Ovis aries: one gene and its partners. Each later gene encodes a partner of the first gene's protein in a complex. Links are inferred from orthologs where the notes say so. Each region holds a gene or a part of one and is shown in the gene's direction. Other genes may lie near its edges. The genes, in order: VAMP2, CPLX1, SNAP25, STX8 and NAPA.

Evidence for each region.
Region 2: the proteins of VAMP2 (region 1) and CPLX1 are in contact, whole or in part, in a crystal structure (PDB 1KIL), measured with the Rattus norvegicus proteins. The link is inferred for Ovis aries from reciprocal best matches to the Homo sapiens genes VAMP2 and CPLX1. Residues at the interface, in NP_036795.1 of Rattus norvegicus: Arg47, Val50, Asp51, Leu54, Asp57, Gln58, Ser61, Asp64, Asp65, Asp68, Ala69, Gln76; in NP_074055.1 of Rattus norvegicus: Leu41, Arg48, Tyr52, Glu56, Arg59, Glu60, Met62, Arg63, Ile66, Arg67, Tyr70, Gly71, Ile72.
Region 3: the proteins of VAMP2 (region 1) and SNAP25 are in contact, whole or in part, in a crystal structure (PDB 1SFC), measured with the Rattus norvegicus proteins. The link is inferred for Ovis aries from reciprocal best matches to the Homo sapiens genes VAMP2 and SNAP25. Residues at the interface, in NP_036795.1 of Rattus norvegicus: Asn25, Thr27, Ser28, Asn29, Arg30, Arg31, Leu32, Thr35, Gln38, Val39, Glu41, Val42, Ile45, Met46, Asn49, Lys52, Val53, Glu55, Arg56, Lys59, Leu60, Glu62, Leu63, Arg66, Ala69, Leu70, Gly73, Ala74, Gln76, Phe77; in NP_112253.1 of Rattus norvegicus: Gly131, Gly132, Phe133, Ile134, Arg135, Arg136, Asn139, Leu150, Glu151, Ser154, Ile157, Gly158, Leu160, Arg161, Ala164, Leu165, Met167, Gly168, Ile171, Asp172, Gln174, Asn175, Ile178, Asp179, Ile181, Met182, Ala185, Asp186, Asn188, Lys189.
Region 4: VAMP2 (region 1) and STX8 share a complex: the UniProt entries of both Homo sapiens proteins name them as parts of the SNARE core complex. The link is inferred for Ovis aries from reciprocal best matches to the Homo sapiens genes VAMP2 and STX8.
Region 5: the proteins of VAMP2 (region 1) and NAPA are in contact, whole or in part, in a cryo-EM structure (PDB 3J97), measured with the Rattus norvegicus proteins. The link is inferred for Ovis aries from reciprocal best matches to the Homo sapiens genes VAMP2 and NAPA. Residues at the interface, in NP_036795.1 of Rattus norvegicus: Gln36, Ala37, Asp40, Glu41, Val43, Arg47, Val50, Asp51, Leu54, Glu55, Gln58, Lys59, Arg66; in NP_542152.1 of Rattus norvegicus: Arg116, Thr118, Lys122, Ser157, Ser159, Ser160, Lys163, Leu197, Tyr200, Ser201, Lys203, Arg239, Ser268, Ile269, Arg271.

What each region holds. Positions count from the first base shown.
Region 1 is NC_056064.1:27,613,615-27,617,619, reverse strand, and holds the start of VAMP2 (vesicle-associated membrane protein 2), read left to right. Parts: upstream 1-1,203; 5' UTR 1,204-1,305; coding exon 1,306-1,307; intron 1,308-1,811; coding exon 1,812-1,932; intron 1,933-2,398; coding exon 2,399-2,557; intron 2,558-2,650; coding exon 2,651-2,702; intron 2,703-3,264; coding exon 3,265-3,281; 3' UTR 3,282-4,005. UniProt on the Homo sapiens protein: Involved in the targeting and/or fusion of transport vesicles to their target membrane. Major SNARE protein of synaptic vesicles which mediates fusion of synaptic vesicles to release neurotransmitters.
Region 2 is NC_056059.1:118,209,471-118,212,979, forward strand, and holds part of CPLX1 (complexin-1), read left to right. Parts: intron 1-54; coding exon 55-230; intron 231-3,509. UniProt on the Homo sapiens protein: Positively regulates a late step in exocytosis of various cytoplasmic vesicles, such as synaptic vesicles and other secretory vesicles.
Region 3 is NC_056066.1:3,295,095-3,299,099, forward strand, and holds the start of SNAP25 (synaptosomal-associated protein 25), read left to right. Parts: upstream 1-1,205; 5' UTR 1,206-1,353; intron 1,354-1,756; exon of another isoform or gene 1,757-1,912; intron 1,913-4,005.
Region 4 is NC_056064.1:28,677,266-28,681,273, reverse strand, and holds the start of STX8 (syntaxin-8), read left to right. Parts: upstream 1-1,205; 5' UTR 1,206-1,217; coding exon of another isoform or gene 1,218-1,234; intron 1,235-2,503; 5' UTR 2,504-2,528; coding exon 2,529-2,611; intron 2,612-4,008. Other genes in the region: CFAP52 (cilia- and flagella-associated protein 52), read right to left, coding at 300-381. UniProt on the Homo sapiens protein: Vesicle trafficking protein that functions in the early secretory pathway, possibly by mediating retrograde transport from cis-Golgi membranes to the ER.
Region 5 is NC_056067.1:54,244,470-54,248,723, reverse strand, and holds the start of NAPA (alpha-soluble NSF attachment protein), read left to right. Parts: upstream 1-1,450; 5' UTR 1,451-1,597; coding exon 1,598-1,695; intron 1,696-4,254. UniProt on the Homo sapiens protein: Required for vesicular transport between the endoplasmic reticulum and the Golgi apparatus. Together with GNA12 promotes CDH5 localization to plasma membrane.

The sequences.
Region 1 (4,005 bases):
CCTCATTCTTCACTCTTGAGGCTTGTCACAACCCACCGGACAGGCAGCTCATTTACACCCATCGCCTCCTTCCTGAGGGGCCACTCCTGCTGGAAAGAGCACGGTGGGTGGGTGAGAGATGCTGGGCCAGTTTAGACGACCTAAACAGAGACCAGGTGTGGAAAGGGCTGTGGATAATTCCCTACCATGTCTTACATCTAGACATTTAACAAATATAGGTATAGACTCGACACACCTAATACATTTTGGGTCTAGAGGTAGGACAGGAGCTGTTATGTCACACGCATGAGGCTAATCCTTAGGTAAAGTAGTACCAAGTCCCTGCGTACCGCAGGTGCCGCCCTTGCCCACTTACTCTCCATCCCGGTAAAGAAAAGCCAAAACAAAACAAAATAAAACAAAACAAAATGCGTAAGCCTTGTCCTTTAGCCCTGTGCCTGGGATCAGAGGTTGAGCCCTCTTCCGGCTGCCAGGGTAGCTACTCAACTCTGGGTCAGAGCTAGGTTTCTGCCAGTCTGAAGCCACCACATGAAGCGGCCCCACAGGGCAGCGTAGTGCCCTTCTCCCGGGTTCCCAAGCTTGCCCCACCTCAGACAGGCCTCGCCTGCCAAGGAACCCTGGTCTGAACCTCAGTTGCGAGGAGGGGGTTGCTATCACGGTTCCCAGACCTCCTTTTGGATAGCCACTCGCAAGGCAGAGGGTTGAGGATCAATTCCCACCACTCCCAGGATCCCAGCTATTCACACTGCCTCCGACCTGCACTTGCTCCTTCTGATTTCCAACCCCCCTGCTCCTTCCAAATGCTCAAGGCTGCTCAACCCGCACTGGGACGTGGGAGCAGGCTGGGACCTGGGGCTGCGTGGGGTGCGGACAGGTTGACGGCTTTCACCGAGGAGGAGGATGTGTTTGGGGCTGAAGGGCGCCTCAAGGGCCAGGCGGTGGGGGCAGGGGGACCGCGAGGACCTCGGGGAGGGCTGGGGTCAGACCCGGTGGGCTAGTGGTGGGTGTAGGGAGCCCTGCCACCAGGCTCAGGGTTCGCAGGCAGCGAGGGAGAGGCTGGGGCCAGGCGGCGCCGGACCCGCCACCTGGCAGGCCGCGATCCCCGCCCTCGGCGCCCCGCCCCCGCGGCCCGGCGGCCGACTAGTGGCCCGCCGCGCCCCGCCCCCGCCCGCAGTGCCCGGATGTGGGTGACGTGCGGCCGCCATCTTCCCGTCCCGGGCAGCCAGCGCCAGTCGGAGCCAGCTCGAGCCTCCGCTGCCGCCGCCATCACTGCCGCTGCCAAGTCCTCCGCCCGCTGCCCCCGCCATGTGAGTCGGCGCCCGCACCTGCACCGCCTGGCCGGCACTGGCCGCCGCCCTTAGGCCCAGGCCTGGGGAGGGCTCGGGGTTCGACTCGCGTCCCCCACGCGCCCCGCGTCCCGAGACCAGGCCGGCGCCTGTGACTGCGCGCGGGCATTAGGAGAGCCCCGCGTCCCGGGCTGGCCGCGCGGAGGCTGACCGCGAGAGGGGGCGGACTCCCCATCTGGCCGCTCCGCCTCTATCATCGCTGCTGGGTCCACCCCAGACCGTGTCTGTGAGGTCGCCCTCGTTTGACAGGCGGGGAAACTGAGGCCCGAGGGGGAGGGGGCCTCCCTCAAGGTCACGCAGCAGCTCGCCCGCGGGCCCGGACGGAGGCCAGGGCTCGCATCGAGTGGCTTTCTACCCGGCAAGAAGGAAGGGAGGGACGGATGGAGGGACAGGCGGATGGGCGGAGCCCTGGCTGCGGGGCCAAGGGCTGCAGGCCTTGGTTCTTAATCCGTCCCTGCCCCTCAGGTCGGCTACCGCTGCCACCGCCCCCCCTGCCGCCCCGGCTGGGGAGGGAGGCCCTCCTGCGCCCCCTCCAAACCTCACTAGTAACAGGAGACTGCAGCAGACCCAGGCCCAGGTGGATGAGGTGAGTGGAGGTGGTGGTGTCAGAAACAGTGGGAAGGACCCTGAGGGTTGACAAACCGACACGGGGGTCCATTTTGGGTTGGGGGGTGATGGCAGTTCATGTTTGGGTACGAAAATATACCATGGCCCGTCCTTGTCAGCGTGCAAGTATGGGAGGGCCCGTGGGGATGTTGGCCTGGCTAACCTGAGGTGTTTCACCCTGGGTGGATGCTCTGGTGAACGGAAGGCTGCTTGAGGCTCAGTAAATAAAGAGTGGTGCTGTGACATCTGAGCAGTGTGGATACCACATGCCCCTGCTGTGTGCTGCTTGCATTTCTCTGGTGTGCTAGGCATGTTCTGTATATGTCCTTGGCATGTTAGCCAGGCCACATGATGCCTGTTCCCTGTGTGAGCTCATGGTGTGTGGAGGAGTGCCCTTTGAGATGGACCTTGGCACACACACCGCTGCCTTGTGGGCCTTCCCTCAGGTGGTGGACATCATGAGGGTGAACGTAGACAAGGTTTTGGAGCGGGACCAGAAGCTGTCGGAGCTGGACGACCGTGCCGACGCCCTCCAGGCGGGGGCCTCCCAGTTTGAAACTAGTGCAGCCAAGCTCAAGCGCAAATACTGGTGGAAAAACCTCAAGGTAAGGGTGGAGGCAGGTGGGAGGACAGGGAGGAGGTGGGGGGTGAATGGGAGTATCCTGGTCTGTCTCACTGAGCCTCCCCCTCACCCCCAGATGATGATCATCCTGGGAGTGATTTGCGCCATCATCCTCATTATCATCATCGGTGAGTAGGGTGGGAGTGGCTAGGGCCCTTTCATGGAGAGGGTTCCCCTGCGGTTTCTGGGTTTTGAAGGTCATTAACCTAGATTTTAGTATTTAGGAAAAAGTATATATGGTTGCCAGTAGCAGTTCTGATTCATCTAGAGCCCCAAACCTTGAAGTTGTTTAGCTTGCACTTTGCCTGATTCTGGGCCATTTCTGTTAAGATTTTCAAAAACAGGAAGAGCATAATAGACTGGGAACCTGGAATTGGGGAGTGGGAGAGCAGCAGAGACTGAGGGGCTTGAGAAACAGCTGGGAAGCAAACCACCCCATTGTTTGAGAGCTGTGGTCTCAGAGGATTAGGGATCTGTGGCCCCAAGGCCATACCATGGAGTTGAGGAGATCTGGGAACCAATCTGTGTAGATTCCTTGCTTTACAGGTGAAGAACCTGAGGCCAAGAGGGGAAGGGATGTCACCTAGCTGGGAGGTGGGGAAGGTGGGAGCAGGGCTGGGCTGACACACTGCTTTCTCTCTTTCTCTTCCTCCCTTCTCCGTCTTCTTCCTTCTCTTTCCCTCTCCACAGTTTACTTCAGCTCTTAAACCCCTGAGGAGCCTGCCCTGCCCAGAGAAGGGCCTCTCCCCCCAACCCCCAGCCGCTCCTCCACCTCTCAGCCATATCTTCCAGCCCCATCTCCCCCGGATCCGTGTGTGTGTGTCGTGTGTGCGCCCCCTTGTAAATAGCCAGCTGTTATTTATACATATATAATATTATATATATTTGGTCTGTTTGTAGTTTTATTACTAGAAGATTTTTTCCAGTTGTCCTTAACACCCCTTCCTGAGGTTCTCATCACTTCCTTTTCCTCTTTCCCTCCTTCCCTTTCCCTCTCTTCTTGACCAACCCCAAGTCTCCTTCATTTGCATCTGCTATGCAATAGTCCCTCTTCCTCTCCTTCCCTTGGATTTAGCTGACCCTTCCTCCCACCCTGGCCTTCCCCATACCTCCACCCCCACCCCCCACCCTCACCCCCATACAAAAAAGACAAAAAGCAACTGTCCAGGCTTCCCTAGGTGCATTTTCTTTGCATCATTGGGAGGCTCTGAGACTGGTCCCTCTTGGTCCTAAGAATCCCATGGTCTTCTGGGAGCTTCTAGCATGTTAATTAGCATCCATTTGCCTACTGACATTCCTTTTGGTTTCCTTTCCCTCCCATCACTTTTCTGTTCAGTCTTTCAACCTGTGTTTCTTTTTTTACTGAGGATTTAGTCCCTGTTGGTCCTTGTATCACACTTTCATTTGCATGACATTACTTGCAGGTGGTGG
Region 2 (3,509 bases), on another chromosome or scaffold:
GCGCAGGGCAAGGAGAAGCCGGGCCTGGCCTGACTCCCGCCTTCCTGTGCCCAGGGGCCACCAAGGACATGGGCAAGATGCTCGGGGGCGACGAGGAGAAGGACCCTGACGCCGCCAAGAAGGAGGAGGAGCGGCGCGAGGCGCTGCGCCAGGAGGAGGAGGAGCGCAAGGCCAAGTACGCCAAGATGGAGGCGGAGCGCGAGGCCGTGCGGCAGGGCATCCGCGACAAGGTGGGCGCGGCGGCGGCTCGGCACCGGGGGCCGGGGCCGGGCTGGGGGTGCTGCCTGCGCGAGGGCTGGGCGAAGCCGGGCTGGGCCGCCGCCCGCCCTCCTCCGAGGCTCGCAGAACGGACCTCGCGGAGGGCCCCCCGGGGAGGGGGCGGGCGGGGGAGATCCCGCGTCCCAGCGCGCGCGTCTGCACACGCTCACCGGGCCTGGGGCTCGCCCTGCGGTCCGAGTCCTCCTGGCTCCGGTGGCGGGGGCTGGACCCCTCCTCCCAGGATCCCGGGCTGGCGTGCTGGCTTCTGTAGGACAAGCTCCCGTGGCTGCCCCCAGGACTGCCCCCAGGGACTTGGAGGGCAGGCCCTTCTGGAGAGGAGAGGCAGGGCGGCCAGGGGCTGGCCCACCGGCGGGCTGCAGGTGGGTGAATCGTCCTGGGCTGGAGGATGCCCCTGACCCCGCCCGGGTGGGCCTTAGGCCCCTGAGGTGAATGACAGGGTGTTGGGGGCAGGTCTGTGGCTGTGTGGGCTGGCTGGGGGTGGGCTGGGAGCTCGAGGTCATCTTTCCAGAACCCTCTGGCACCTTCCTCTGTGTGCACGGCATGCGCACACACCCGGCCGGGACCCGAGGCCAGAGCAGGGGCAGACATGGGAGGCTGTCAGCTGCGGGCCCCAGGGGCCTGTCCACTGCCCACCCTCAGGTGCCCACCCAGCTGTGGGTCGGAAGGGCAGGCATGGGGCAGCTGCTCCTGCCTCTTCCAGGGTGGGCCGGCCTGCAGGCCAGGTGGAGAAGCAAGGGCCCTCCCCAGGGCCCCACGATGTCCTGAAGCACGTGGCCTCCCACGGTCCACAGCGTCTTGGGCCTTGAGCACCACTCGGGGGTCCACACGGGCCAGGCCTCTCCACCCAGAGACCTGGGGGGGGGGACTCAGTTTGGGGGTGCTGCCTCTCAATTCTGTCCTGCTCCCCCTGACACTCCCATCTCTGGGCCCTGAGGGAAGTGTTTCCAGACACTGGCTGAAGCCTGTGGGAGGGGACCGGGCATGGGCAGAGGGGTCGTCCAGAGGGCGTCTCCACAGTCCCCAGCCCCTCCCTCCTGCCTGGTTCGCAGGGCCTCTGCGATGCGGACACAGGCGGGCGCCTGCAGGTCTCTGGGCCCACGGGGGCCCCCATGCTGATGGAGGGTGGGGTGCACCCTGGTGTCCCGTCACTGGTCACTGGACACCTTTCTGGGCAGAAAGTTTAAGTTGATTGTGCTGGGGCAGCAGCTGATGAGACCCTCACCCCCAGGACCAACCACAAGACTTTCAGAGCCTTTTGGGGAAGGGCCAGGAAGAGCACACAGACAGCAGAGAGGGAGGCAGCCATGGGCGGGGAGGGGCCAGAAGGCAGAGAGACAGCTCAGGCATTCTGCCTGTAATAGGAAGCCCCTTCTGCCCCTCCCCTCCTCAGACTGTCCAGCGGCCCCATCTCCCTGGGGCTCCAGCCCCAGGGGCGTGGGGACACTGCCCCTCAGGGCTCCCACTGCCCCAGGGCCTTTGCTTGGCTGCTGCGCTCTGGGGCTCCCTGAGGCCCCGCCGCCCTGCCGCCTCTGCGCTCCTCTCCTGCCTTCCTCGCTCCGCACCGGCCTTCATCTGGGAGCATGCCTGCGCACTCGGTTGCGTCCAGCTCCCTGCGATCCCGCCAGGCTCCTCTGTCCGTGGGGTTCTCCAGGCAAGAGTACCAGAGTGGGTTGCCTTTTCCTCCTCCAGGGATCTTCCCGACCCAGGGATCAGCCTCAGTCTCCGGTGTCCTCCTGCTTTGGCAGGCAGACTCTTTACCGCTGAGCCACCTGAGAAGCCCCCCTCCTCTGACACACACTTCTCACTGGGTTGCTGCTCACTGTCCATCCCCTGCAGGGAGGGCAGGGACTCTGACTGCACTTGGCCTTGCATGCTGAGCAAACGAGTGAGTGAGTGAACAGGCATCAGCTCCAGCGTCCTTTTCTTCCTCAGGGAACCGAGTGGCACTCACAAGTCACAAAGTGAGTCCCAGTGAAAATGGAGGGTGTGTCCCCACCCTGCGGGCAGCTCCATGGGAGGCCAGGGGGCAGGGCGACCCTCACCACCCCCACCCTCAGGACCCCAGCTTCCAGGGCGACAGCACGGAAGGCTGCAGCCTTGGGCAGAGCCCCACGGCCCCCTAGCCTGGTGCCCCGGGGGTCGCTTGGACAGTGGTGCTGCTTCCCCAGACGAGCATCACCCCCATCTGGGACCCCCGTGGGTGGGCTGAGTGCCTTTGCTTCTGAACTGCCTCCACAGACCCCAGGCCGCTTCTGGACCCTGGCAGTCCCCAGACCCACCGCGGCTCCATCAGCCACGGTGGACGGTCTCCCTGCTGGGCCCAGGCCTCCTTCCTGGGCACGTCCAGGGTCTGGTCTCACCCGCCCATGGGGCACGATGGTGTCTGCTGAGTTCAGTTGCCTGGGCAGGGGTCAGAGCTGGGCCCCACCCCATGCAGGGGCTGGGGCCGCAGTTTCCTTACCAGCCCAAGCCCAGCTTCTGCGACCAGAGGATGAGGCGGGACGAGGGGGCCAGGGCTTGGTCCTTGGGGGCAGCCTGCAGGGAAGGTGTGGTGTGTTGGGGAGCATGCCGACACACGCAGCTGAGTCTGACAGGTGGGGGCCAGGCCTGTCGGTGTTCAGGGGAGACAGGCTGATGATGAGTGCCCCCATTCATGGGTCGGAGGCAGCTCAGGGTCTGATGCACTCTGGATGTTAGAGCCCCAAAGCCCCAGGTCCTCACAGCCTCAGTGTTGGTCTCCAAGAATTTGGTTACCTCCTTCAAGGAGCCTCCAGCTCAACAGAGAGGAGCCCGCTCTGCCCACAAGACCCTAGAGGTGGACAGCGCGGCTATGGAAGGACAGGCTGCCCCGGCCATCCAGGGTGGGGGTCACCACTGCCCTCTCTCCCCAGACATCCTGACGATGAGCTCTGCGCCTGGAGCCCCCTACCCACCGACGCCGCCCCCCATCACATCCCCTGGCCCTGCCTGGTCCCCCGTGGCTGCAGAGCCCTTCTCAACCTGGCCTTCCAAGGTGACCCCCTCCCGCCCCCCTGCCCCCACAGGTGGGACCCCTGACCTTTTGGAGTGGTTCCCCCAATGGCCCTCGCTGGCCCCCAGGCCCCAGACCCACTTCCTGCAGCCCCTTCCTGCTGTCTGGGGTGGGGTGCCCCATGGGGTGCCCCATGCCCCCACCCCCAACCTCACAACCTGAAATGTATCCAGATATTGCCAAATATCCCCTGGGGTCA
Region 3 (4,005 bases), on another chromosome or scaffold:
CCCGCGGAGAGCCCCGAGACAGCCTCCCCAACACCTATGAATCATCCGAGAGGCTGCCACCGCGGGACTATTTGCATATGCGCCCTCCACCACCCCTCCCCTTCTTGGCGCCTAAAGCACAAAACAAAGGACAAGATTATTGCTTTATGATTATTCTTTTTAATCTCTCCTATGACCAGCGCTACTAGCTTCTCTCGCCCACGTCTTGTTTTGAGCATCGCAAGGCCAGCTTCGTCTGGTACCCAGGGTTTGCGCACTGAATGAACCAGCAGAATTTTGTAGCGTCCCAGCATCCTTGAACCTGTAGCTGTTCCCATACTACCCGCTCCCCAGAAGCCTAGTCAATCCTATAAGGCATGTACGGCGCCTCTGTGGACTAAGAAGTTCAACATAAAACCCTAGGCTCCGATTGCAAATTCAATCCCAAACAGCGTCATCTATTTTGCCCTCCTCAAACAGCTCTCAACTCCAAGCCTTGAACTCAGCAAACCCACGCTGGTTGGGTTAACTACCTACCATTCCCTACCCTTTCCCCCAACTCCTTTGAAATCTCTGTGATGATTGCTCTGACGTACTTTAAAATAACGTGTACTAGTCTCTCTCCGCAACTGACCATATTAATGCGAACTCCAAGCCCTCGATGCTACTTTGATAAAATGAAGAAATCACTCATAAAAATAGCAACCCACGTAGCCTGACCATATATGGAGCTGGTGGGGGTTGACAGGGATGCCCCTTCGGACCAGCTTTTTTTTTAAAGCAAATTGCAACTGAAATCCCCCACCCCTTGCTCCTCCTCTGCCTTCCCCTTCCGTTTCATGACTCAACCAAAGACTCAACTCAGCAGGGGAAATTTTTTGTATATATATAATCGCATATAGTCCATGTATATAACACATACACATACATACACACACCTATACAAACAAAACAATATCAGAAGACCAGTCGAGAGATAAATGAATTTGCCCGTGCCTGGGTGTTAAAGTGGAATCATAAGAATAGTCCCGTTCGGGTGTTTATAAAAGACTAAAATACAAAGCTTTGCAGTAAAGCGAGCTGGGAGCTGAGTCAAGCGCTCAGTACCTCGCGGCTCCTCCCCTCCCACCCCCGCCCGCGTCCTCCCCCCGCCCTCCCCTCAACACTTCCTCCCCGCCCCTCCAGGAGATGGCTATTAAAAGCTGCTGACGTCAAAAGGGACGGCCATCTTTGATGAGGGCAGAGCTCACGTTGCATTGAAGACAAAACCTCGGGGAGGTCAGGCGCTGTCTTTCCTTCCCTCCCGGCTCCGCGGCTCCTCCACACTTGGAACCTGCAGGGGCCAGGCGAACACCACCCTCTGGAGAAGCCAAGGTAAGGAGACCCCTCCCCAGGTCGTGGATCTGGCACTGGCTGGCTGCATACCCAGAAGGGACCACAGCTGGGCAGACCAAGTGAGCTTGAGCAAATACAAGAATTTGTGCACCCAGGGTGCGGTATTCCATCTGTGTGCGTCCGGCTAGACTCTCGCCTAGGGCTTTATAAAGTATTTTCGAGGTGAGCTGCTTAGGGAAGGGGTGAATGGGGATAGTGCAGATGGAGCGATGGGGTGGAAGCGCAAGAATACGTACGGAATAACTTACTCTTTTGAAACAGTAGTGGGACCCTCTCTCTTCCATTTTGCGATGCAGTTTTCAGAGATGTTTAGGCTGCTGTTTTTATTCTCCCCCCACCCCCCCTTCTGTAGATGAAAACAAACCAACCCTGTCGTTCTGACCTTATTATCATGACTGCTGTCGTTAGGGCGCTGTTATCCAGGGAAAAATTAGGTAGAAGGCAGGGTGCGGGCGCTGGGAGGCGAAAGAAAGGGGAGTTCCCGCCCCGGGCAAGCTGAGCTGCAGCCGCCACAGCAGCCTCCATGCCCCACAGACTTGATTTATGCCGCCTGCTCCACGTCAACAGCAGGCTGGCGGAAGGCGGGCGGGTAGTGCTGGGTGGGAGGGCTCTGCGGAAGACTGGCGGGGGCGGGGGCTCGGGCTCGCCTCCGGGACTGCGGCGGCCCGCGCTCAGCACCCTGGACAGCAACATCGGGGGACTGCGTTGGCGCCCGCCACCTTTCAGCACCGCGGATAGCGGTCCGGCCACAGCGCCGCATCTACCTGCGGCAGAGACGCCTGGCCAGGGCTAGTTTCAGGCCAAACTGCTTCTCTGAGACTCCGATCTCTCGGATATCCCTAATAGAGCAGGCATAGTAGGTTAAAAGGGAAAAATAAATCCTTCCTACCGGACCCCTCTGCAGGCAATTACCAGTTCCCATGCTTAGCTCCTGTATAGCTTCAGAAAAAAGTCTACTTATGGAAATTTTCTGTGTTACTCTCTCCCTCTCCTTACCCCCCCGCCTTTTTAAGGTAGAAAACAAACACATTTTTAAAGATCTGTACTTATCTTCCAGTAGGAAATCAGGGGTTTTATTTATTGACACAAAATAGATCTGTCTACAGATCCTAGGTGGTCATGGATAAGGGTATATATGAAGATGGCAACACGATCTCTTTATAGGAGTGTTATATCTTTTGACATATATCTATTTGATAAAAAAAAATATGGGGGTAATTGAACTAAGCGAAATCAACTTCAATAATGAATCCCTCTTCCTCTTCTTTATCTTTGTAATTAGGCATGAACAGAAGCACATACCCATAAAAATACATCTGTAAGAAATATTATGGGTCTTTCAGGGTGTAGATTTAACCTCTTTGGCCATGATTTCAGAATGAGAGGAAGTGTTTCCTATGGACATTGGTTATCTCAGGATAATTTTCTGATTTTGACAACATTAAGACTGGTTTTCCTCCGGAGAATCCAACCGTGCCCTTCAGTGTGATGCAGATGGAAGGACCATAGTGTTAGACTGAAACTGGACTCTGACCTAAAGATCTACTGTAATTTCCTTTACAGCACTGCGGGATTTTGCTGAGGCAGTGATAAGTACTTTAACTATTTTCTACTCTGACATTTTGAGCCTCTGAGTGAACAAAAATTGTTACAGGGATATTTCCAGCCATTTGGCATAGACAAAAATCAATATAAAATGACCAGGAACAAAACTGTGCTCGCTGAGTAGTTGTTAAATAAGAGTAACAGCATCATGTGTAAGAATGTAGATACCACATATTAAATAAACGTTAGCATGATCCCTTGAAAAGCCTTAAAATAAGATCTTATATTGGGGCTAGTCATTAAGTCCAGTCATTTATATGCTAGAGGTGCTCAAATGCCCTATCCACATAGAGAAAGTATTTTTCATTCCTGGCTATTTATTTACTACTGTTCTACAGTTTTTTATGGATAACTATGTGGTTCCATGTAAGTATATATTCAACTGTTGTTGGATACAAATGTAAAATTGTTATTGAAGTGTATGTAACTGCATAGATGAATTTTATAACTCTGCAGTCTACAGATGAAATAAACAACTGTGTTTTAGTGATGGGAGGAGGGGAGACAAGATGGCTAGGAGTCTTTAAAAATGCTTTGACTCCATGCTGCATGTCCAGACAGCTCTCTGCGTAGTTGCGACAAATGAAAAAGCTCAACGCTTCCGGAATTACGTGCTTGGTCATTAGTAATTACTGCTGGGTTTGTTTGTAGTGGAAGACTGGGACGGTGGGGCAGAGGTAGAGGACTGCAGTGAAGCTGGCAAAGGGCACAGATCTGGGAGGAAGTGTTGATGTGCACAATTATGGAGCTAATGGCTTACTGAGAAGTTAAACAGAAATGTAATTGAAACATGAATTTTAACATTTACATTATTGATAAGCTTCAGGGAAAAAAATCGAGATATTTCCTATCTTAAGTTTTAAATTTAAAAAATCCAGGGCAATACAGTGAGAAGAGGCAGAAGCAGATGGATGTAAAGACTTGCCAAGAAACATTAACACAGACCTTCTGATGGCCCCTGCCTGTTTGCTCGCTGGAATTTTCTGCTTTACCACCTTGGCATTCAGAACACGAAACAATTTGTAA
Region 4 (4,008 bases), about 1.1 Mb from region 1:
AGAGCTGGCCAGTGCGAGAACGGTTTCAGATAGCATTTTTTTTATCCTTATGGCCTAGTGAGGGGGCATTTGGTTCCTTTCAGACGTTTGCAAAACCCATCCCATTCTTTAAGGCCTGGAGCGAGGACATGATTCTAAGATCTTTGGGGAGGAGAGGCTGTCTGGGTCCCCAGTGCTTGACTCATGCCAGCGTCCCAAGCTGCCTTCCAGGTGCCACCTGGTGTCTCACTCTCCCTGGTTGCACCACACTGTCCTTGGGGTCCCTAAACCACCCAGCCCAGACACGCTCGAGGTCTCACCATTGAATCCGATCACGGCCTCAAGCTCCAGCTCTACTGCCTCAGCCACCTCATCCTTGGGCGAAGTTTGGGTCTCCATCATCTGGAGACTCCGCTCACTTTCCTCTCAGCCTACAGAAGGTGCAGCGTCTTCTGGTCGTTATGGTAACGGACTTGCGCATGCGCGCTAGATCCGCGGTCGCGCTGAAAGCCGGCCTACGGAGTCCGAGTCCTTTTGCCCTCGCGAAAATCGAGAGGGCATTTTTTTTTTTTTCTTTTTAAATTTTCTAGTATTTCTCTGGAAATTTAAGGGGCACGAAATGGACAGACTAATTCCCTCCTCCCCCATGTAAAGAGTCTGTGACCTTTTGGGTAACGATATAATCAAATACTTGATGGCATTTAAAAATTAGACAAAGTTAAGTGCCTCTGCTGGCAAGGCTGCTATAATATATAATTGACACTTCTTTGGGTCCCTTGAAGCAGGATAAAACAAACAAACAAACTATTGAGGTATAAATTACATATCCTAAAATTTATTTAAATTGAGTTTTAGTAAATTTATACAATTGTGCAATTATCACCACAATCCAGTTTTTTTTCTTTGTTTTAAGCAGAATAAAATGTTAAATAACTGCTAGAGGTCTTAAGGGGCTCCCACCTTCCGGGGAAAATGATGGGATTTTGCTCGAAAACAATTTTATTTTAATTGCACCCAGCTGTTCGCGTCTCTTAGGACGCAAACTGGTCCAGCCCTCAGTCCCCGGGGAAGCGCTTTCCTTTTTCTCATATCAATAGATTGGAGGCCTTAGGGTATGTATATTGCAAACTACGAGTTCCGGGCGCGCACGGGTCGAGCCGCAGGGTGTGAGCCGCGCGGGCCGCCGTAGTCAGCTGCTGCGAGCAGGAAGTGTCCGAGCTGCGGGCGGAGACTGCACCATGGCCCCGGACCCCTGGTGAGCCCCGGGTGAGGGCGGCAGCGCGCGGACGGTCTCGGGGGAGGCCAGGCTTCCGGGGAGCGGGTGATCGCTAGGCATTGGGGCCGGGGGCCTTTCAGAATGAGGGGTGGGGGAGCAGGGATCCTTCTGCTGCCGCCGAGAGCCGGGGGTTGAGGGGCTGCGCTCCGTCGCATCCCGCCGCCACTCTCGGTCCTGCAGGGGTGGCTGGGGTGGGAGACGCGGTGTACACTTGGAGGAGTTCCAGCGCCGAATCTCTGAGCCGCATCTCCATCCTGGTGGTGGAGCTGGCTGATGCGGGACTCCTGTGAAAGTGAAGTACAGAGTAACCTTTTTGGTGGAACCCAAGTCCCTCTGGTCAATTTCCTTATTTCGCCGGTAGCGAAACCGAGGTTCAGAATTCACGGGAGTAAGCGAGTTAGTAACCAGTTGACGCTGGGGTCTAGATCTTGTGCGCCCTTCAAAGAAAACTTACAGGAATCTGGGAAGGAAATTATGCCTGTTGTTGATAAGGTATTTTGTCCTCACCTCAGTATCATGAAGACTGTCTACAGCAGCAACTTATGCAGTAAAACAGTAGCTGAGAAGAGTCTTTTATTCAACAGTAAAGTCCCTAGGACTGAATGATGAAAGGCACAAATTCCGATCCAAGGAACCTACTGCAATAGCATATTCACTTGAGCTTTTCGTTTACTAATTAAAAACCGTCTAGCTCTACAAAGTTCTTTTTGGAGAATATGTCTCACATTAGTACTTCTAACATAGTTTATAGTTAATTTGCAGACAGTCTGGATATTAATAGATTAACTTTGCAAGATCAAAGTTAATCTACCTAGGATCTGGATTGTCTGGACCAATGGCTTAACTGATTCCATACTATTTTTTTTTCACCTGATTTTAACACCCTGATAGAAAAATTTAGAAAATACTGAATATTTGCAGAGGGAAAAAAAGAAAAAAGAAACATCCTTAATTCTATCATCTGGAATAATTGCTGTTGACTTTTTAAATGAATTTTTTACTTTGTGTAATATATGTGTGTATATAATGTATTTTATAGAAACAGAGACCATTTCTCTGTATCGCAAATATTCCCTGAAAACACAATCTTTATGTTGCTTAATAGTGTATCATGTGAATAACCATGATGGAGTGTGATTTAATCATTGTCCCTTTGTACCTTTTTAAAAAACACTACGGTTTTTTTTGCTTTTATTTTTTTTAATTGCCCCTTGGTACCATCTCTCACTTCTTTGACTTGCTTCCTAGAAGTGGAGCTACTGGGTCCAAGAGTATGAACATCTTTAAGGCCCTTGATACAGATGGCTGCGTTGCCCTCCACTTCATGGAGGCTAATTCCCTCATTTTACACATAAGGTAGGATATATAGCTCAGAAATAAGGTAGAGGTCCCAGGGTATCCATTTAGATGGGTGGAAACTATCCCCAAGCCCCTAGGCCTCTTCCTTGGTTAACGTGCAAAAAGCACTGATAATTTCTCCTGCTACTCTGAAGAAGTTTAACTTAGCAGCTTTCTCATGTTTGTTGAAAGTGAGACACTGGGGGACTCTGCTGTGCTCAGTCAACTTCCTTGAAAAGTGGGCTGCTGATCAGGAGAGCAGAAAGGAGTAGGGAATAGGACTTAGAAAAATCTAGAAAAACAGACTTGATTACAGCTTCGCCCTCCTGCGATCGAGAATCATGTCAGTGATGCTTTACTCATGTTTGGAAGTAGAATATGACTGTTACTCTTTTAATGGCATATCAAAGCAAATGGTAAGCTCACTGTGTGATAGAAATATCGCATGGTGACTGTCTCTGAACAGGCTCTTTGCTAAAAGTTAATCAGCTTTATCACTTTTTCGCTCTCCATTCCAGTTCCTCAGCCTCTGTCATGGCGTCACCATCCTCTTAGTCTCTTAAACCTAAAAAACTCTAGTTATCTACTTTTTCTTCATTCGTCCTGTCAGATTATTGACTCATCTCCATGATTTTTATTTTTTTCTCTTCTGCTGTTGTCCAATCCTTTATAGCCTTATGGTTTACAGAAGTAAATGTTGGTGGCTAGTTATGGAGCTGAATAGCTGGAGAAGTCTTCTACTGGTCTCCTTTACTCTTCTTTCATTCCCAATGATTTGTGTACATGGAGTTCAGGTTACTTTTCCTAAACTAGCACTTTAGGCGCCTGTGTGTTTGATTCCATCGTCAGGTTGCCCATTACCACTAGGCCAGTGGTTCTCAAGCTGTGCTATAGATTGGAATCTCCCGGGGAGCTTTACAACTCCTCACGTCTAGGGCAAGGCCCCTGCCAATTCAATCAGAATACTTGGGGTATGAGGAAGCTTTAAAACACGTCCCCAGTGATTCAGGGGGTTTCCAAGGTACTTCAGTGGTAAAGAATCTGCCTGCTGATGCCGGAGATGCAGCTTGGATCCCTGGGTGGGAAGATCCCCTGGAGAAGGAAAGGGCAACCCATTCCAGTATTATTGCCGGGAAATCCCATGGACAGAGGAGCCTGGCAAGCTACAACCCATGGGGTCACAAAAGAGTTGGACACAACTGAGGACTTGCAGACCAGACAGTGATCCACATGTATAGAAGAACTTCAGAACCAGTTTGTAGAGCTCATGTGAGAACCAAGGATTAGGAGCAAGGCAACTGGGGTTTTGGCCGTAAGCGTTTCACATAACCTCTTCAAGGCCTCAGTTTCTCTGTAAAAGTATACCCCACAGTTCTCAAATTCCCTTCAAACCTTATTATTATGCTACTCAAGAC
Region 5 (4,254 bases), on another chromosome or scaffold:
TTTGATATACCTCATCGTGTGTGTGTGTGTGTGTGTGTGTGTGTGTGTGTGTGTGAGAGAGAGAGAGAGAGAAAGAGAGAGGGAGGGAGGGAGAAGGAGATTCATGGTGTGTGTGGGGGTGTGGGGGTGTGTGTGGGAGGGTGGAGGCAGAGAAACAAAGAGATGGAGGCCAGGAGACTTACCTTCTGGAACTACAAGACCTTCCAGGCTCATCCTGTGCAGTGTCCTAGAACCAGCCTTTTATCCAAGGAGCTCTCGTTCCTTTTGTTGGAGAACAAAGAGTATTAAAAACTAAGATCTGGGCGCTAGATATAATTGAACCTAAATTTTTAACAGTTTCACTAGCTTTTTTTTTTTTTAAATGAAACCAGCGTTAGACAACCTCTGCTCCCCTCTGCATACCTCTAAGACATTGCAGGTTCAGTTCATAAATAAAGCCAGACACATGACTTTCCCTTTGTTTCCCAGTGCATGTAAGTTATGTTTACACTATGTGTGTATGTGTGTCAGTCGCTCAGTTGCATCCGACTCTTTGAGACCCCCATGAACTTTAGCCGGGCAGGCTCCTCTGTCCAAGTAACTCACCAGGAAAGACTACTTCAGTCTATTAAGGGTGCAGCAGCATTATTTTAGAAATGTATAATTTAAAAATATTTTATTGCAAAAAAATGCTAATCATTATCTGAGCCAGTCTTAATAATAACATCAAAGGTCACCAATCACAGGTCATCCTAACAAGAGTAACAAAAAACTTTAAAATATTGTGAGAATTATTAAACGTGGCATTGAGACACTAAATGAGCCAATGCTGTTTGGGAAACCGCACAGCTCTGAGAGAACTGCTTAATGCAGGATTGCCACAAACCTTCAATTTGTTTTTTTTTAAAGTGTATCTTGGAAGGGCAAGAAAGCAAAGCACAATAAAATGAGATATGCAGCCTTCTCTGGTCTTCCCAAACCAATTTCAGCATAGGTCGACAGAGGGCGCAACAAAACGGAGACCGCTTTCCTTCTTACCCACGGACGCCTTTCCAAGTGAAAGAGACCTTCAGGAGGTAATGAGAGGAGGCGGGGACTAAGCTCTGCGCAAAAGAGCTGTCAAACCCAGTCTTCCGGCATGGAGCTATCACGTGACGATTAGGGATCAGCTGACTAGGGTCTAAATTCCGCAGGGAAGTCAGACGGAGCCAAAGGCTGAAGTTGATTGGTGGAGCAGGAACAAGCCCAGGAGGCGGGTCCTTGGCGCTGAGGGCTACGATTGGCTTGTGCGGAATCACGTGGGTTATCAACCAGCGCACCAGGCACCCTAAGACAGATACATGCGCATGCGTTAAAAATTGGATCGCTGATTGGAGGCCGTGAATCACGGGGCGGCGTGCCTCGGCTGGAGAGGGCGTGGTCTGCGGTGCGCACGCCGCGCTACGAGGCCGTTGGTTGGCCAGCTCGAATCACGTGGTTCCTGGCCGCAGGAGGCGCGCGCCGGTGCGACGTCAACGCAGCCCACTAAGCTCCCCCGACCTGTCTCCTGCGACCCGGTCGTATCTGAGTTCTCCGAGGGCAGGGCTCCGGCGGTTTGCTGAGTACTTTTGCGGCCGCTATGGACAACTCCGGGAAGGAGGCGGAGGCGATGGCGCTGCTGGCCGAGGCGGAGCGCAAAGTGAAGAACTCGCAGTCTTTCTTCTCGGGCCTCTTTGGGTAAGAACCGCGCGCAGGGGTCGGCCGGGACCTCGGCTGAGAGGACGGAGGAGTCATGCTCTGGGGCGGCGGTAGAGGCGAAGGGCTCGAGCCTAGAGGACGCGGGGGTTTGCGGGCTTACGGGCATGGTCTGAGGCAGCAGAGGGTACAAGCCATGGCCGGGACGCCGGACTGTGGCACTGACAGCGTGATTCGAGGAAAGACTGTCCGAGACTGTGGCAGGGCCGTGGGCTGAGGACACCCGGGCCGAGGCGAAACCATCTGGAGGCAGGAAGGGGCCCCAGGCTGGAGACGGGCCAAAGGGCCAGGGGAATACGGCCTCAGGCCTTGAAGGGAATGTGGCCTGCGGGGACCGAGGGAGCCTGGAGGGAAGCCAGGCTAGGAAGCCTTTTGGAGCTCAAGGAGAGCCTGTTTGAAAGATCCCAGACGGGAGTCTTGGGCCCTGAGACTGAGGACTTATGCCTGAGGGCGTCCCTTTTCCGAGACCTGGGGTGATGGACTTACGTGAACTCTGGCCCGGGCGTCAGGGCTAAGATGATCCTACGATTGATGGACCCAGTCTGAATTGCGTGAAGTGTCTCAGGTGAATATGGCCCAGGTCACAGGTGACTAGTGTAAAGAGACCTGACTGCCAAGTGAGATCTGAACAGAGGAAGCTCTGGGGTGATGGAGTGAAGGCCGAAGAGGGCTGGGAGGCTGGAAACTAAGTGGGAGTGAAGCTTGGTTTAGGAACTGGTGGGATAAAAATGAAAGATGAGGGAGATAAGAAAACCTAAGGGGCCGGAGGCCTGCTGTGTGATCTTTGAGTAAAGATGGGGCATGCAGTGTGAGCAGAATGAGACTGGCATGCCCAGGTTAGGGCTGAAGGGGGCTGGGAAACAGAATCAACACCTAATGCTTGTGGCAGACATTTCACATGAGTTCATGTTGGCTCATAAGAGTTGTTCTGATGACTGTCGTTTGAGGAATTTTAGTGGCTGAGGAGGATCAAAAGCTCAGGTCAGAAGCCTAGGCTCTGCCATTTCTTGACCTTGGGCAAGCTGTTTAACTTCCCTTATTATGGGGAAGTGGTGTCTCAGAGAAACCTGTCTCAGGCATTTGCCACTAGTATTGAAGTAGGGCACGCGTAAAGGGTGTAGAATTGAGCCTGGGACGTGGTTATCACTCTGAAAGTGTTAGCTACCATCAGTGTCATTTCCGGGAAAGAAACAGGTATGGAGCCTGTTCGGGACTGATGGGGATCAAGGTGGGGGTTTGATGGGCGGGACTGATGGGGATCAAGGTGGGGGTTTGATGGGAGAAGTGGGAGGGGGGCTGTCAGAGCAGGGAGAGGCGATGTGATGAGTAAGGAGTTGAAAGGGGTTGGGGAAGGAATTCGGGCCATGGGGACTTGATAGGGTTAGGGGAAGGGGCTTGAGACCTCCGGTGGAGAGAGAGCCAGGGAGGACTGAGGAACGTTGTGTTGCTCTTGAAACTGGGAGGAGAGCTGCAGGGGAACAGGCGGGTGTGTAGAGAGTTAGGAGGAACTGTGAGGAGGGGCCATGGAACCTGGCAGCAGAGAGGCCAAGGCTGGGGACGGGGTTTGCGGGGGAAGACTGGGGCTTTAGGAGAGACGGTGTTAGGAGGTTGGTAAGAAATGAGGAGGAGGGTTCTTCCCCGGAGAGGAGATGGGAACCGCTCATTGTTACAAGTGGTGGATAATGTTTACTTATCCACCGCAAGAACTTGAGTAACCTGGCTGAGACCTCGCTAGTGTGGAAAAACATCCGGGGCTGATGGACTGTATTGATTAGGTGAGGAATGTTTTCTTTCAGAGGCTGAGAGTAGGGAGAGCGTGTCTGTGTTTCTGCTTCCTTCACAAGGGGAGAAACTCAAGTGCAGTGCTTTGTGGTGGGGCCAAGAGCTTAGTTTTCAGTCAGGTCATGGTTTTACTGGGTGGCTTTTGGTGTCTGGTCCCTGGGGATTAGTGTACTGTTGGGCCATGCTTGGAAGGAGCAGCCAAGTCAGGGCCTGAAACACTTTGTCACCTGGCTGGGAAGGCAAGATGAAGACTTGCTAACACACTAGTAAAGCAGAATTGTCACATGTGATTAAGGGCTGCATTTTATCATTGGTGGGAGGTTCCTGACCTGAGAGGAAGCTGCATGAGCTTAAGGAACTCCTTGGTGAGGAATGAGCTGGGCCCCTGGGAACCCTGGGACATGCCACAGGAGTGGGGACTGGAGAGGGTGTTCCAGGCAATGGGAATTGTCTGAACAGAGGTCTAGGGTGAGGGGAGGTTTGTCCAGAAATGATGGGGAACTGAGATCCAGAGAGACCAGGGCTGGCTCCCTGTGGGGAGAAGCCTCCACCTGGGAGGATGAGCAGGAGTTCCGGGGGTGCTCTCTGGTGGGAGAGCACAGCTCCCAACAGAGGAGGCAGCTTGAGCAAGGCCCAGATGTGTGAAGGCCAGCGTCTGAAGGTTTACTGCAGGGGGTTCTGCGTCAGCCCGTAAAGGTAGAACAGGCAGAAGGGGATGAGACTAAAGAACCAGGCCCCATCCCAGAGGGCTTTTTGAGA